Kluyveromyces lactis: one gene and its partners. The main gene of each other region encodes a partner of the protein of the gene in region 2 in a complex. Links are inferred from orthologs where the notes say so. Each region holds a gene or a part of one and is shown on either strand. Other genes may lie near its edges.

What was found. Proteins that work in one complex are often made in the same cells at the same time.
Region 1: ARP2 (region 2) and ARC19 share a complex: the UniProt entries of both Saccharomyces cerevisiae proteins name them as parts of the arp2/3 complex. The link is inferred for Kluyveromyces lactis from reciprocal best matches to the Saccharomyces cerevisiae genes ARP2 and ARC19.
Region 3: ARP2 (region 2) and ARC15 share a complex: the UniProt entries of both Saccharomyces cerevisiae proteins name them as parts of the arp2/3 complex. The link is inferred for Kluyveromyces lactis from reciprocal best matches to the Saccharomyces cerevisiae genes ARP2 and ARC15.

The regions. Positions count from the first base shown.
Region 1 is NC_006041.1:1,623,447-1,628,387, reverse strand, and holds ARC19 (Arc19p), read left to right. Parts: upstream 1-1,793; coding exon 1,794-2,309; downstream 2,310-4,941. Other genes in the region: snoRNA-splicing protein PRP40, read right to left, coding at 1-1,295; DAL81 (Dal81p), read left to right, coding at 2,687-4,941. UniProt on the Saccharomyces cerevisiae protein: Functions as actin-binding component of the Arp2/3 complex which is involved in regulation of actin polymerization and together with an activating nucleation-promoting factor (NPF) mediates the formation of branched actin networks.
Region 2 is NC_006039.1:349,337-356,141, reverse strand, and holds ARP2 (actin-related protein 2), read left to right. Parts: upstream 1-3,194; coding exon 3,195-4,370; downstream 4,371-6,805. Other genes in the region: APM4 (Apm4p), read left to right, coding at 1-1,253; MRX9 (Mrx9p), read left to right, coding at 1,627-2,757; serine/threonine/tyrosine protein kinase MPS1, read right to left, coding at 4,574-6,805. UniProt on the Saccharomyces cerevisiae protein: Functions as ATP-binding component of the Arp2/3 complex which is involved in regulation of actin polymerization and together with an activating nucleation-promoting factor (NPF) mediates the formation of branched actin networks.
Region 3 is NC_006039.1:697,581-702,601, reverse strand, and holds ARC15 (Arc15p), read left to right. Parts: upstream 1-1,927; coding exon 1,928-2,389; downstream 2,390-5,021. Other genes in the region: ARG56 (bifunctional acetylglutamate kinase/N-acetyl-gamma-glutamyl-phosphate reductase), read left to right, coding at 1-1,581; YRB2 (Yrb2p), read left to right, coding at 2,695-3,735; EFM4 (Efm4p), read right to left, coding at 3,818-4,516; FIS1 (Fis1p), read left to right, coding at 4,847-5,021. UniProt on the Saccharomyces cerevisiae protein: Functions as a component of the Arp2/3 complex which is involved in regulation of actin polymerization and together with an activating nucleation-promoting factor (NPF) mediates the formation of branched actin networks.

The DNA.
Region 1 (4,941 bases), on a different chromosome or scaffold from region 2:
TGATTCGCTACCGAACATTTGGCTTTCAAAACTAGTTCGGCTTCATCAACTCTATCAAGAAATAAATCCAATGCCGATGATCCGTCTCTTCCAAGCAAGTTCGTAAATCTCCTATCACTTTTCAACAATGGATATATATCTTTCCATGTACTGTTACATTTAATGTATGGTGATAATTCGTCGAGAAGAGCTTTGTATTGGTCTCTTGCCCTTCTATCTGATCTGAAATTCTTAGAACGCAAACCTTCCATTTCCGTTTTGAGTTCAGCCATCTTTGACTCAACAAAGGTAATGTAAATTTTGAAAACATCACTCCTTGTAATTGATACGAAGTTCTTATTTGAATCGAATCTTGGTGATCCCCATAGATATTTTGTAGCGAATTTGCTCCATGGTAAGTTGCTGGGGTCAATATCATCGGATATGCTAACAAAATACAGATTCAATTCTTTTAATGCCTCGTTTCTAACTTTGGTATGCTGTGCTTCGTGTTCATGCTGTAATGAAGATATGTACCTTTGGAACGTACGCTTTTTCTGTTTCTCATCAATGACAGAATGCTTGTAAATAGGTTCATTCATTATCTGCCTCTTGATAGTTTTCCAACGCGAATAGTAACGAATGTTGGGCAATTTCTCAAGCATTTCTATAAAGGCCTGTTCGAATTTTTCCAAATGTTGATGCTCTTTAATCAACTCCGATTCTGTTCTGTTCGACAAGAACTTGTCAAACATTGATTGTTTCCACAATGGGTCATCATCTATGATCCAATAATGCGGATCTTTGTTCCCAATTTCGCGAATAATCCTATTGAACGACCATGTAGAATCCACTTCGTTATCTTGTAACATTTGCAAAAACACCTTCTCGGCTTCTTCCTTTGATGGAGCCTTTCGTACAACCAAAAGTTCTGATTCGTTTTTGTATTTGTTCTCGCTATCTTTCAAGATTTTTTGTACATCTACATCTTTTCCACTTTCTACCTGTGTAGAGTTGGTGTCAGCTGCCGATGCAGTATCCGGTTGCCCAGCTTTGCCAGACGATTTGGTTGGTATACTTCTCTCATCACGGTTATCATCGTTCTCAAAAACCGGCACGTTCCACGTAGTCTCTCCTGTGTCTGACTTGTAATAATAAACCCTACCATCCTCTGCAAGAGCAGTTTTCCAACCATATTTCAGCAGCTTCCTTTCAAACTCGGTGAATAGCTCTTCTGGTTTTTCCCAAGTGGTCTGTCCTGTATCATTATAATAATAGACTCTTCCTTGAGGATCTTTGGTCTCTTGCCAGGACATTTGAAATTAAAATGTTTCTGGCTGGAGAATTGCTATCTAGACACTTGGATAACTGATGGTCGTCTCATCCCCTCATCCCATCGCTAACACAGTTTAAATCATTTGGATTGAGATTTCAATTCATAATATTAGATCATAAACCTTGTTACCCTGATTGTATTAAGCTGTGGTAAGAATGCTATAACGTGGGATCAATGCCTCCATCAGACCTGAAACTTAGGACAAAATAAGCCTGATGATTCCCTTCCATCATTTCCACAGTTTTTGGCATCCAATGGCCTCATTTGACCCAGCAATTTCTAGTTTTCCGTGTCTTCTTTCTTACATTGGTCCAGTTAATGTGCTGAAATTTCATTCAGAATTAATTCTTTTGACCCTATTTGAACCAAATCACAACCGATAACGTTGAATAAAGACAGGTTTGCAACCCCATCTTTTGGCCATTGTCACCGTAAAAGCTGCAGTTCTCCAACCCATCAGTTAATAAGTGAAGGAAAAATGTCTCAATCGCTACGTCCATACTTAACAGCAGTGCGTTACTCATTGCAAGCTGCTTTGAATCTATCAAACTTCTCCTCTCAAGAAGTGGAAAGACACAACAGACCTGAGGTCGAAGTGGACAATACAAGTGCAGAACTTCTATTACAACCTATGCATATCGCACGTAATGAACACGAACAAGTTCTAATCGAACCAAGTGTCAACTCCGTCCGTATGAGTATTAAAGTGAAACAAGCAGATGAGATTGAACAAATTTTGGTACACAAATTCACCAGTTTCCTCGAACAAAGAGCAGAGAATTTTTACGTGCTAAGACGTGTCCCAGTGCCTGGGTATAGTATCTCTTTCTTGATCACAAATAAACACACCGAGACTATGATTACCGAGAAATTGATCGAATTCATCATCGACTTCATGGAAGAGGTCGACAAAGAAATCTCTGAAATGAAATTGTTCTTGAACGCCAGAGCTAGATTCGCAGCAGAAGCGTACTTGGAACAATTCGTCTACTAGATTGCCAACTCTCGTGGATATATAGATGTATAGTCCATGTATAGTTAAACAAAGTATTATGATCACGTGAACCGTTCCTAGTTCCATTGGTTTGTTACCCGGCTATATGAGATTTTTCGAAACCAACAAAGAAGGTTAATAAATGGAAACGTACTGAGGAAAAGATAAACGTTTGTTTGTTGATAACGCATCGGACGGTGATTTAGGGACCTTGGACGCGTATTTGGCTGCTTCAAGTGACTAGATTCGGTAGTTTTAGGGTGCAAGTCTCTTGTACTGAAGGATTTTGTGGTGTAAAGCGTTTGAGATAGAGTCTGTCTTTACTATTCTCTTTGCTTTTGTATATCAAGGTTTCGACAGGTTTATCAAAGAGCGCGATGAGTGGAAGCGCAGCATCCGTTAATGGTGGTGACTCTCTCTGGAAGGCCGATTCTTCTGAAGATGTGGATTCTGGTACAGGGAACCCTGAGGACGCTGGGAACAGTATTAGAACTGGTAAGGAGACCACTTCAGTTGAAGCAGGTTCGGCGTCTGCGTCGAGCTCTCCAAGAAACATTAACTTGAAGAATAAGGTTTCGGGTACCAATACTACTAGTGGTAATGGCGGTAACTTAAATGCTGTAGTTGATAATGGCGATGATGATAATGATAATGCGCGTGAAGAGAATGAAGAACGTGATAATATTGGTGGGTTTAAAAATCATAATAACTCCATGTTGAATTTCAATGATGATTATACGAGTATTCTGAATAATCTGACTAACGGTAATAATAGTAGTCCGGATAAAATACAGTCTCAGCCACAGCAGCAAGATAAGAGTTCTTCAGGGATGGACAAAGGGTCGTTGGATATGTTATTGCAACATTATCAAGAATTATTGAACAGATCTAACAGCTCAGCGAATTCTCCACAGTTTGTCCCATCAAGCGGTACAAATGGTGCACCATCTCCTAACGTTTCTGTAAGGACACAAAATACGCTAACAGAGAAGCCATGTGATCATTGTAGGAGGAGACGCACGAAATGTATCGTTCCCCCTGAATCCGACAGTTGTGTTCCATGTGATACGAAGGGGATCAAGTGTACATTCTCGGAGTTACCGAGTGGGAAAGTGGCGGCGGATGTGCTACAAAAACAGATGAACAAACGTGATAGAGTGGATGAGAACATAAATGTGCATGAATTGTTGAAACGTACTAAGTTTAGCAATAATAATCAAAATAAAAACAGTAACACAAATATTAATAACAGTAACCCTAATAGTAATAATAATAACAATAATATCAACAATAATATTAACAACGCCGGTGGTAATAATAGCAACAGTAACACGCCTAATAATGAGCTTACCAGTGATAGCGCTAACAATCTGCCGATACAATACTACAATGACGCAATTCAGAATTGGTACAAATCTCAGACAAGTTATGAACAACCTCCATATCCCTATCAAAGGAATGCGTCAGAGTTCAACAACGGTGCAGCACAAAAGGCATCCCCCTCGTCACTTTATGCTTTCAATCAGTTCAATTACGGAATGAACTCAGGTCAACCACAACAGCAGCAACCGCTAACTTCTGGTCAACAGAGCATACAACGTCAAATTAATTATGCTCAGTCTTCCATTCAATATCCCAGGTCTTCCTATTTTGTGGGCCCGACATCCATCTTCGATATTAATCTAATCAATCACATGAAACTAGACAAGATTGAGCAAGTGCAATTATCAAAAAATGTCGCACTACGCAAGGTATCTCCCAATGCACAGTTCATCTTAAGAGACGATTTTAATCAAGAACTTTACTTGAAGCAAGAACGTGATATAGATTTAGTGGAAAAACTAGTGCATCCTCATGGTAAAATATTGGTTGAAATTTTCTTTAAACTGATTCATCCTTACTTTCCCATTCTACACGAACGAGTATTTTTGGAGAAGTACTCAAGATCTTATCGTGAACTCACGGCGCCAATTCTTGCATCCATTTATTCCCTAGCTTTACAATGGTGGGATTTCCACCCGCAATTGATTGGTTTTCCTAAACCAGATGTTGCGAATCAATTGAATGATATTGCATTAAAAACTTTCTACGAGGTGTTTGAAAGACCCAAATTAAGCATTGTCCAAGCAGGTTTACTAATTTTGCATTGTCGTAGTGAATGTCCCAACAATTGGGTACTATGTTCGGAAGTTGTTGCTTTGTCAGAGGAACTTGGCCTCGGTGTTGATTGTCAAGACTGGAGATTACCTCGCTGGGAACGTGGACTACGAAGGCGATTAGCATGGGCCGTCTGGGCTCAAGATAAATGGACAGCCCTTCTGGAATCTAGGAATTCGCATCTAATTTTAGGTCGGAACTGGATGGTTAAGCTTCTTACAGAAGACGACTTCCCTGATAAATCGCCAATAATAACCAGTAGTCAACGCAATAAACAACCGTCGCATAGGCCTCTAGGTCCCATTGGGAACTCTTCCATACTTGACATTTCACCAACTGATGAAGACTTCAATAGTGGAAAACTACTGTTCAGACAAATGGTGTCCTTAAGCATTATTTTGGGAGAAATCATGGATACCTTTTATACAATTGGTGCTATTAAGACAACAACTAAGATCGAACATGTTTTAAAATT
Region 2 (6,805 bases):
GAGAAAGTAGCGACAACTTGCCTATGTGGCTTGTAGCAGTATCCAGATCGAATGTGGATAGTTCAATGATCTGGGAATACCTACACAAGTTGTACCAATTAATGGAAGCATTCGGAATTAACGATGAAGACGTGTTAAAGGATGAATTTATGTTATTGTATGAGATTTTAGAACTGACGTTGGAGAACGGCATCCCACAAACAACGGACTTAGCTCAAATAATACCAAGAGTATCACGAAAACCAATAGAGAATAACACAATTAGCAAATCTCCCGATTTGGATGATTTCTTATCCGGATCTAACATTCTAAAGGCTCCAAAGCTTTCAAAGCGGTCCTCAAGTTCAATTGCCTTGTCTTCATTATCTGAATGCCCTTGGAGGCCAAGTGGGTTGAAATACAAGAAGAATGAGGTATATTTGGATATCAACGAAAAGATCACAATATTGGTAGGTAAAGATGGGTCAATTGTGAAATCATTTGTTGATGGATCCGTGGATTGTGTATCACATCTATCAGGTATGCCTCTATGCCAACTAGGGTTGAATGACACATATTCGATTCATGGAAACGAAAAGTCAGAATTGTCCATTGTTGAAATGATGTCCGAGTACGATATTAAGAATAAGAAAGCTATACCGAATGCGGCTGCAGGCTCTGTAATATTAGAAGATTGTAAATTCCATCAATGTGTCCAACTTAATAAGTACGAGGCCAACCACGTTATTCAATTCGTTCCTCCTGACGGGCCATTCCAATTGATGCAATACCGTGTCATTGATAACATTAATATCCCATTCAACGTCATACCGGAGGTAGAAATCGTGAAGAACTCTACACTCAATTACAAGGTAACGTTAAGATCACTTTTCCCATCCAATGTCTCTGCCAAAGATGTAACAGTTAAAATACCTGTGCCCCCAACCACGATTAAATGCGATTTTAACGTCTCTGGAGGAAAATGTAAGTACGATGCCGGAGAAAAATGCATGGTATGGAAATACAACAAATACAAAGGATCTACAGAAAATACTCTGAGCGGTAAGGTGGCAATCCCTGCTACTTCCCACGATCTATCTGATTTGTTAAGATGGTCAAGACCGCCAATATCAATGGGCTTCGAAATTGTAATGTTTAGTAATTCCGGACTTGTGGTGAGACACTTGAAATGTCAAGAACCACAATTGAATTATCAACCGGTGAAATGGATTAAATATATCTCACATTCAGGAGCATACGAGATAAGATATTAGTCCACTGAGTGGGATGACTTGTCCCTATAATGGTGTCTTCATATTAATGTGCAACGAATTGGTTTACAAAAGTTTACCCGGATATGTATATATTATTCATGTTTTTCCTATTTAAACAATGTAGTAATAATATTCCAAAAGTTTAAAGGAACAGAAAGCAGATTATAAGTCATCCTGCGATCTTAGTATGGGGTTTGCGATGATATAGACAATTTGGCCTTTGAAATTCCTATAAAATTCCTTTGTAAATTAAGAAGCTTCATAGATTTCAAGACTATGAAGACATTTTGCATTACCAGAAGTAATCGCTTATTGGTATAAATCTGAGAAAATACAATTCCGCACATCAGACATTGTGATATTCTTCTGTGAGATGCTTCCCCTAAATCGATTTCAATTGTGCGTTAAATCACAGATTGGGCTGCGACCATTTCAATCCTTGACAAAGTTAAAAGCATACAGTCCTGCTAGTCATGGATGTGTCAAGACGGGTCAGTTTGTGAATTTGGTGCCACGGTTCCCACTCCTGGCAGCTTTGAATCCCCGGATGAATCTTTTACATTATAACCAGAATATTTTGGTCTCTCCTGTGAAGATGGCGCTTCGAAATTTCCATTCTACGCCGAGAAACATGGTACTTGGTGGACGGGATCCTTTCAGAAAAAGTCCCTTTAACAATCCCAGATTTATCTTTTCAATCAGCCCTTTTTCCTTTATTCTTTCCACGTTACTGTTCGCTGGATTCATAACAATGATAGTATTTGTTTTGCCTTTCTTACTTGCTTTGCTTTTCCCGATGGTGATATTTGGAATAGGGTGGTATCAATTCAAAGCTTTTAGAACCAGGAAACTTATGCAGCTTTTGGATCATGCTTTCAATCAAACTAAGATGAAGCTTTCATCCACCACAAGGAGAGAATTGATAATGAAGCAAATGGTCCCAAAATTCAAGTCATTTACCCAGCTAAAGGACTTCAGCGGATTCCCCTTCAAGCTCTCTCAAGCATTTACAGATAAGTTTCAATCGGGAGAATTTCCCAACGCAGACAGATTTCTTTCCTTTGTGAAATCGAGATTAGATGAGAGTTTCTATAAAAACGAACACAACATCAAATCCATAGTTTTAGGAAGTGATACAGCTTATGTTCCAGGACACATGGAGTTAGTAACAAACTCGTACTCTTTTGTTTCCAGCGTCAGAAATAACGAAAACATCCAAGCTTTTTCATTTATGCTATTGAACATGGGTTCTGAGGGAGTCCGTAAACCAGTTGCATTGGTTTACATCGTTACAAAGGCAAACCCAGGGGACGAATTGTTGATGTTCACTGGTGACTACATTGATGATTCTAAGTTATCCCCGATGGTCATCTATGTACGTGCTCTCAGCCCATTTTCGAAATGTTGCTTCATTACAGACGTCGGAGAAACTGGAGCAAATGCACAATATAGTGTAAAACGAAAAAAGGACGGCAGTAAAGAATACACGTACGAAAGTGATTAAAAGAACTAACGCCCTCACCTAGGTACTGACATGACATTATTAAGAATCATCACTTCACAAAATCTATTTAAGTTGACACAAACCGTCACAATTTATACATATTCATCAATGAAATAAAAAAGATCATATAACACATATCCAAGCAAACTATAAGATTCATTTGAACCATATGAAAACATGCTTTACATGTAAATCCAACGATTTAGCGGCTATCTTGTGACGTGCCAATAGCTTTATACCTCCTGGATAAATTCTATATGGACAAACATGATCACATGATTTACGTGAAAAACGACATCAACAACATTGGGAAATAGGAGATGTTCTTAAAGAAAGAGAGGAAATAAAGGTTTATTTCATCAGATTTAATAGTGGAACTGGGGTAATTAAATCAAACGGACATTTGTGAGCATCTTCAACCCATTAATAAAGCGAAAATGGACCCACATACTCCAATTGTTCTTGATCAGGGTACTGGTTTCGTGAAAATTGGCCGTGCTGGTGAGAACTTCCCAGATTACACCTTCCCATCCATCGTAGGTAGACCGATTCTTAGAGCTGAAGAAAGAGGTCATGCTTCTACCCCATTGAAAGATATCATGATTGGTGATGAAGCAAGTGAAGTTCGTTCATATTTACAGATTTCGTACCCAATGGAAAATGGTATCATCAGAAACTGGGCAGATATGGAATTACTATGGGATTATGCTTTCTTTGAGCAGATGAAATTGCCAACTACATCCGGCGGTAAGGTACTACTTACCGAACCACCAATGAACCCCATTAAAAACAGAGAACAAATGTGTGAAGTTATGTTCGAGAAGTATGATTTTGGTGGCACATACGTTGCAATTCAAGCCGTTCTAGCTCTATATGCTCAAGGTTTGTCGTCGGGTGTCGTTGTTGATTCCGGTGATGGTGTTACTCACATTGTTCCTGTTTATGAATCCGTTGTTTTGAATCATTTGACAAGAAGGTTAGACGTTGCTGGGAGAGATGTAACCAGACACTTAATTGACCTTTTGTCTCGCCGCGGTTATGCATTCAACAGAACTGCCGATTTCGAAACTGTTCGTCAAATTAAAGAAAAGCTTTGTTATGTATCTTATGATCTAGACTTGGACACAAAATTAGCAAGAGAGACGACTACTCTAGTGGAATCTTATGAATTACCCGATGGGAGAGTCATCAAGGTTGGACCGGAAAGATTCGAGGCACCAGAGTGTTTATTCCAACCAAGTTTAGTTGATGTCGAACAACCAGGTGTGGGTGAACTTTTATTCAACACAATACAAGCAGCAGATGTGGATATCAGAACATCACTTTATAAAGCTATCGTCTTGTCTGGTGGTTCATCCATGTACCCAGGTTTACCTTCAAGGTTGGAAAAAGAACTAAAACAACTATGGTTTACAAGGGTTCTACGCAATGATCCCACACGTTTGGATAAATTCAAGGTCAGAATTGAGGACCCACCAAGAAGAAAGCATATGGTGTTCATTGGTGGTGCCGTCTTAGCGAACATTATGGCCGATAAAGACCACATGTGGTTATCGAAGCAAGAATGGCATGAAATAGGTCCTGCTGCAATGTCAAAGTTTGGACCAAGATAAATGAATGATTAAAACTCTTATATAATAGTACATTTGTATTACGTAGGTAAACTTATTAATGCACCCATAGGTTCATTTGCTGGCTTCTTATGGGAGCACAGCATTCATATGTTGCTTCTTTATTCAATGCAGGAAAAAAAGCCATAAAGACGGCATGTCAGAAGTGCTTTATCCCAGTACTGCCCTCAGTGCAATAGATTAATCTATAATTTAAATTCAGCTAGTTTGTTCCAAACATCTTCAGATAATTCTTCCACACGCTCATTATTGACATGTTTTTGATCGCAACCATAGTTTACTGCATTTTTTATCAAATCATGTATGAAGAATTTTGTTACGGTGACAGGATTAATTAATGCACCACTTAATAGCTGGTCAATTGTAACACGAGATATGGGATTTCTTTCCAAACATGATCTTATAGTGTCAATAACAGTTCTTGGTATCACTGTACCGAAAGAGTCTTTTTCAGGATAAGGAATCTTAACATCAGGATTCATGATCGCATATAACCTATTGTTTCCCTGGAACGTACCATAAGGCGGTTTTCCGTACACCATTTGGTAGAGGATACATCCACAGGACCAAACATCTGATGGTTTACCCACTTTCCATTTGGCTTGTTCACCATCATTCCTTGTGAAGTTCATTGCAACCAAAGTCTCGGGAGCCATATAATTGGGAGTTCCGATCTGGTTGTCTCGATAAATATTTACAGTGTGATCGGGAACCGCATTCGCAATCCCAAAATCAATTATCTTTAACATTCCCTTGACGAAAACAAAATTTGCGGGTTTCAAATCAGAATGGACAATATCAGCATCGTGAACCACCTTCACACATTTTATCATTTCTTGAAAGTGATATCTGACAAATTCCGTATCAAATGGTATTTTGGATCTCTGAGTCAATACTTGGGATAGATCATGTTCACCACATTCCATTAGGAGAAATAAGACACCTTGTCCCATATGATAGTCAATTAACTTAACAACTCGCTGCTTGTTTTCTAGTTTCTTTAGAAGCTCTATTTCCCCTTTGAAGCCATCAATACTGGACTCATCAAATTCATCGAAAGACACGCGTTTCAACGCGTATACCTTGTGATCAGAAGATTTCACTTTGTAAACTTTACCCGATCCACCTTTGCCGAGTAGTTCCACCTTTTCATATGCGGTACCGTTCACTGTGATCGTTGGAACAGCATACGAGGTTCTCTTCTTTGTATCAAAGGAGCCATTATAGTTCAGATAATTATCCCCCTTGTTCAGTTTTGATGAAACATCGCAACCCTCGGACTTCAAAGGAATAACTTCAACAGTGGATTTCGGAGGTTCCACTATCTCGACCTTTTTAAAGGGTTTCGAATCATGTGGCGATGGTGCCTTCCTATGGGAGAAAAAAGGAGGTCGATAATCCTCGGGTACATGATCATTTTCGTACTTTGGTCGCTTAGCTTCTTGACTGCTAGATGGATTATTGACATCTAATGGTTTCAGCGCTTCGCGTTTGTTAGCTAGTTCACGATCTACCTCCTGGAATACCAGCTGATTTTTCTGCAATGGAGAAGAAAGCGGATCCTGTAACGACGTTTTATCTGTGCCAAAGTTGTGTTTTCTCCGTGGTTGCCGAGCTGTTTGAGTTCTCCTATATTGAGTGAATTCCCTCTTTAACGCCAGCGTTCCAGAGGTGGCCTTTCTCAACACGGTTTTTCTATTCTCTTCCTTTTGCCTTTCAAAATATACTTTCGAGATGTACGGAAGCTCACCACTGGGAAGATTATACTTCTTTAGGTACTGGTATGGGTTGAGATCACCAAAATCTATATTCTCATAGTTGATGTTAGGTTGCAGATTGGCGGAAGGGTCCTTGTTCTCATCGTGGCTGGGTGTTGAATGTTGTCTGTGAGTCTCTAGAAAAATGTTATGGTCATGGTACCTGTAACCTGTATTAGAACTATTAGAGGTATGCGAATTTTCAATATCTTGCTGGGAAATGTTAGATGTATCATTTATTATGCTACTGTTGATTTGACTATTATCAACCCTGGATTCACTAGGGGAATCCACATTGAAACTTGTAGAAAGGTTACGTTTGGCAGGTCCTAGTGAGGACAGTCGGGAAGTGATAAACCTTCTATTTCGTTTGTTTGATGATTTGGTTGTACTGTTATATAGCTCCTCTTTCATACTCTGTTGCAGTACTTTGAACTTTTGAGAAGTATGACTGTGAGTGTCGTCTTTCATCAGTGACTCCTCGTTCAGTTTATTATATTTGTTGTCATGGTTGCTATTTGAATTCGAAATATCATTATCTTCTTTGACCACGGTATTCATTGTTGTCATGCTTGGTTGGAATTGTTTATTCACCATTGTGAAAACTGTTGATTGAGATTGATCTTCTGTGTGATTCGAGGTATGTGTAGTGTTCCGTCC
Region 3 (5,021 bases), about 350 kb from region 2:
TCTGGTGCAGGTACTTTGATTAGAAGAGGCTACAAGTTAATTCGAAGATCTACTTTACAGGAATTCCCATCCTCTGACGCTTTGAGAGATATCTTACAAAGTGACCCAGACATCCAATCCGGTGCTCAATCAGTTGCTTCTTATTTGAGAGACTTGAACGAATCAGATTTCACTTCTTACGCTGATGAACCACTAGATGTTCTTGCCATTGTCAAGAAAGATTCTGTGGTGGCAAAACTAGATAAATTCCTATGTTCCCAGACCGGCTGGTTGAATAACGTCACCGATAACGTTTTCAAAGCTTTGAAACGTGACTTCCCTGCCCTACAATGGGTGATCAATGAAGATGATGCGAACATCGCTTGGCATTTCAACAAATCTGATGGTTCCTATTTGAAGAACGGTAAGGTTCTATTCTGGTATGGTGTCAAAGATTTGAACACTGTATCCGAATTAATATCCGAGTTCATTAAGACCTCCCCTGAAAGCGGTACCGCTCCATCCTTCTCTGGTTCCTCCAGTGGTGTATTTTCCAGTGGTCAATCATCCAGATCTTACTCCACTAGGGCCAGATCTGCTCCTAAAGTAGAAGGCACTAACAAGAGCCCTGCTAAAGTTGCTTTGATTGGTGCCAGAGGTTACACAGGTCAAAATCTTATTTCATTGATAGACTCACATCCATTTTTGGAATTATCTCACGTCTCCTCTCGTCAAAACGCTGGTAAGAAGTTGGAAGGATATAACAAGTCTGAGATTATTTATTCGAATCTACAAATTGATGACATAAAGAAACTAGAAAGTGAAGGTGCTGTCGATGTGTGGGTCATGGCGTTGCCAAACAAAGTGTGCGAACCATTCGTTGAGGCCATTGAGTCGGTTGCCAACGGTAAATCCAAAATTGTCGATCTATCCGCTGATCATAGATTTGTCCCGGAGACGGAATGGAGCTACGGATTACCAGAGTTAAACAACAGAGAAGCAATTGCCAATGCTAAAAAGATTGCTAACCCCGGTTGTTACGCCACCGGTGCCCAAGTAGCGATTGCTCCTCTATCGGAATACATCACAGGATTACCCACAGTCTTTGGTGTTTCTGGTTATTCTGGTGCTGGTACTACACCATCTCCAAAGAATGATCCAAAATTCTTGAACAACAATCTAATTCCTTACTCCTTAACAAACCATATCCATGAGCGTGAAATTTCAACTCGTTTGGGTTTGGAAGTCGCATTTGTTCCTCATGTTGCCCAATGGTTCCAAGGTATTTCTCATACTATTTCTATTCCTATTAAGAAGAACTCACTATCTTCAGAACAAATTAAGGCCTTGTACACCGAATTCTACGCTAACGAAAAGTTGGTACATGTTGCCGATGATATTCCGTTAGTTAAGGACGTTTCTGGTACTCACGGAGTAGTTGTTGGTGGTTTCAAGGTAAATGATGCAAAAGACCGTGTCGTAGTCTGTGCTACTATTGACAACTTATTGAAGGGTGCTGCCACTCAATGCTTACAGAACATCAACCTGGCCTTGAGTTACGGTGAATACGACGGTATTCCAGACAATAAGATTATTCAATAAACGGAACCACCAAAGAATAACCCGTATATCTATATCAATTTGAACTTAGTTAATATATATGTATAAGAAGATAATGTTATCATCTGCTTATCGTTCTTCCTGTCAGTGATAAACAGTCAATCGGTCCAGTGCTGTAAACCATAGTTACCCTGTTTCCAGATTTATTACCCGGATATCTCCTATAAGTTACTATTGAATGGGATTCATATTGAATGGAAACCTTTAAATGGATTAGGTTAAAATACTCGAAATAACTGCAGGCCGGTCTACTTCTTTTATCAGGAAGCATTAGCGCTGAATTATCCTTATCGTATTCATCCAAGCAGCTGCCTTCTGAACTAGTAATATGGAAGACTGGAGAAGAATTGATATCGATGCTTACGATCCTGAAAGTGGGAGATTAACGGCGGATGATTTGAAACCACCATATTCACATACCGTGAGTTTACAAGAGTTACAGCCAACCATTCAACAGTTACGTTCTTACACATCATCTGGTGATTTTGCAGCTGCTGTTGAGCTATTCACAACTGATCCTCCATACAACGCCGACGAACAAGCGAAATCACAATATTTCTCTGGTATATTGGAGGTGCTAACCCAAGTGAGACAAGTGGATATTGCTAATATAGTTAAGCGCTTGGATCGCAAGCAACAAGACGCATTGATAAAATACCTATACAAGGGTATGTCTATACCTGAGGGTCAAAAGCATGGGGGTATCCTTCTCGCATGGTTCGAAAAGTTAACGCAAGTTGCGGGTGTCAATCCAATCGTTCACTATCTCTCGGATAGAAGAACTGTATAAAGAACTATATAACAGTACGATTTTACTTAATTTAGTATGATATATTTACTCTAACGTATATGATCCAGTTTCACCTACCAATGGGCGATCATTACGGATCTTTGTTTGTTTGGCCTTTGTTCACATGGAGTGCAGGCCCTTTATTAAGTATTACTGGGACCTCTCAGAGTTAGTATTTCCAAAAAAAAAAAAAAGAGAAAGTACTAGTTTTAAACATTCAGTTCTTATTGAAAGCACAGACATATGCCAAGAAAGGGTTATAATATTGTCAAGAAGGCTCCAGTATATTGTTCCTGCTTTTCACAATGCCAGAAACTTTAAACGATAGCAATAAACGTGCGCTTCCTGAGGTGAATTCGGAATTAGAAAGCACAGAAACTCCTGTGAAGAAGGTCAAACTCAATGATAAAGATGAAGCAAAACCTTCAGAAGAGACTGATAAGTTCATAACAGAGAATGATACAGCAAATGAAGAGGCCAATTCCGTAGAGAGACCTAAAAATATTGAAACTGCTGAGACAACGGAAACAGCGGTAACAAAAGAAGAAGATACAAATAATAAAAAAGAAGAAGAGGCCAAGGAAAAAGATGAGGGCGCCAAGGCAGAGATAGAAGGGAAGAAAACAGAACCTAAACCAGAAAAAGACGTGGAAAAACCATCGTTCACATTTGGCCAATCTTCAAGTTTTGTTTCTGGCTTTGGAGTGGCAACTAAACCATTTGGAGCAGCCAATGCTTTTTCTGCTGGTTTACCTGCGGCTAAAACCACTGAGAAAGATGGAAATAAGGACACCGTCAAGGTTGAACCAGGTTTCTCGTTCGGATCTGGTCTATCATTTGGTGCTGGATTCAAAGCTGCAAAAGTAGCCTCCAAAGATAGTGTTGCAAAAGACAAGCAAACAGTCGAATCAGAAAAAAAGGAAAGTACTCCAGCCCAATCAAGAGAGCCAACAGTAAAATTAACGAAACAAGACGTCAAATCGGGCGAAGAGACAGAAGAATCGATCTTCCAAACAAATGCCAAGCTGTATCAGCTTACCGATATAAAGGATGGTTGGAAGGAAAGAGGAATTGGTGTTCTACATTTAAATAAAGATGAAGTTTCAGAAAAGTCGAGAATAGTAATGAGATCCCGTGGGTTATTGAAAGTAATATTGAATCTACCGCTTGTAAAAGGATTTTCTATTAAAAAAGGGTTCCCAGGTTCTCTGAACGGAGAAAAGTTCGTCAGAATATTAGCAGTTGATGAGAACAAGAATCCTGTCCAGTATGCCTTAAGGACAGGAAAAGCTGAAATAGCAGATGAGTTATATGAGAAAGTAAATGCTCATATCCTGGAGAATTGAATTGGACATATTACTTCTGATTCAAACAGACTTTGTAAAATTGACACTACTTAAAACCTTTTGAATAATACCTTAATTAAGATTATTTAGCAGAAGATTTGAGAAAGGCAACGCTGCATATTGTAGTTCCTTTGACACCACCGAACTCAAATATTGGATAGTTTACCGATTTCCATTTTTTCAACGTCTCTGTTTCAATAATCTTTATGAGTTCCTCTTCTGTAAAATTGCATGATGTAATCAACAGAATACTGTTTTCGCCTAATATCTTCTCTATCACTTTCGGATAGACATCTACCACGGTTTCATTGTTTTCAAATTTTATACCGCTTAATGCGATGGCATCTAGTGTACCTTTATCTAGAACGACATCGAATTTACCTGGGGCCCATTGTTCATTGAATATATCTGCCGTAGCAAAAGTTACGTTATCATTTTGGCTGTATTTAGTCTTGAGAATCTCAGCAGCAAACTCGACTGATTTTTCAGAGTAATCTACACCGATCATTTCACCTTTGAAACCTTCCTCCAATAGAGTGAACAAAAGATGACCATTTCCAGTTCCGAGATCAATCATTGAGCTGTCTTCTTTGATATTGTATTCGCCCAAGTTATCTAGTAGAAATTCGACCATTTTCTCCTCTGCATCGTTATCAGCGAACCAGCATTCTCCAGTATCCTCAGGGTTCTCCTCGAAGTTTTGTTTCTCTAATGAGTAGAAATCGTCCCAGTATTCCTTAGTTCCCAACTTAGAAGTATTCAATTTTGTTGTATCTTCCATGTTTCTAGTGTAAGTTTTCTGGACAAAAATGAACCAACGGATAAATTACCGCAATTATCAGTGTTGATATTTGGAACGGAACTTCAATTGCTGATCTTATTGCGATGCCTCTGTACCAATTCTCAGAGATGACTTTCTGTATATATTTGTATATAATCAAAACGTTTTCGAGATGTCTAGCGGACGTAAGAAAAATAAATTGAAAAGTTAAAACTGATAATTTGACATTGAATTTGAAACAATATCATTAACAACATCTGAAACGATCGAAGGTAGCAGTTATTTCTTTATCTTGAAATCACTCGCACAAGCTCAAAAAAATACTGCGGTATGACTAACATCCACTACCTTCCTGAATTGGAGGATTCATATTCTGCATTAAACAGCGATCAAATCGAAATTTTAAGGCAACAGGTGCTCAATGAAGGGGGCGAAATATCATCTATTCAATCACGCTTCAATTACGCCTGGGGTCTCGTCAGATCGACGAATAAGGAAGATCAGA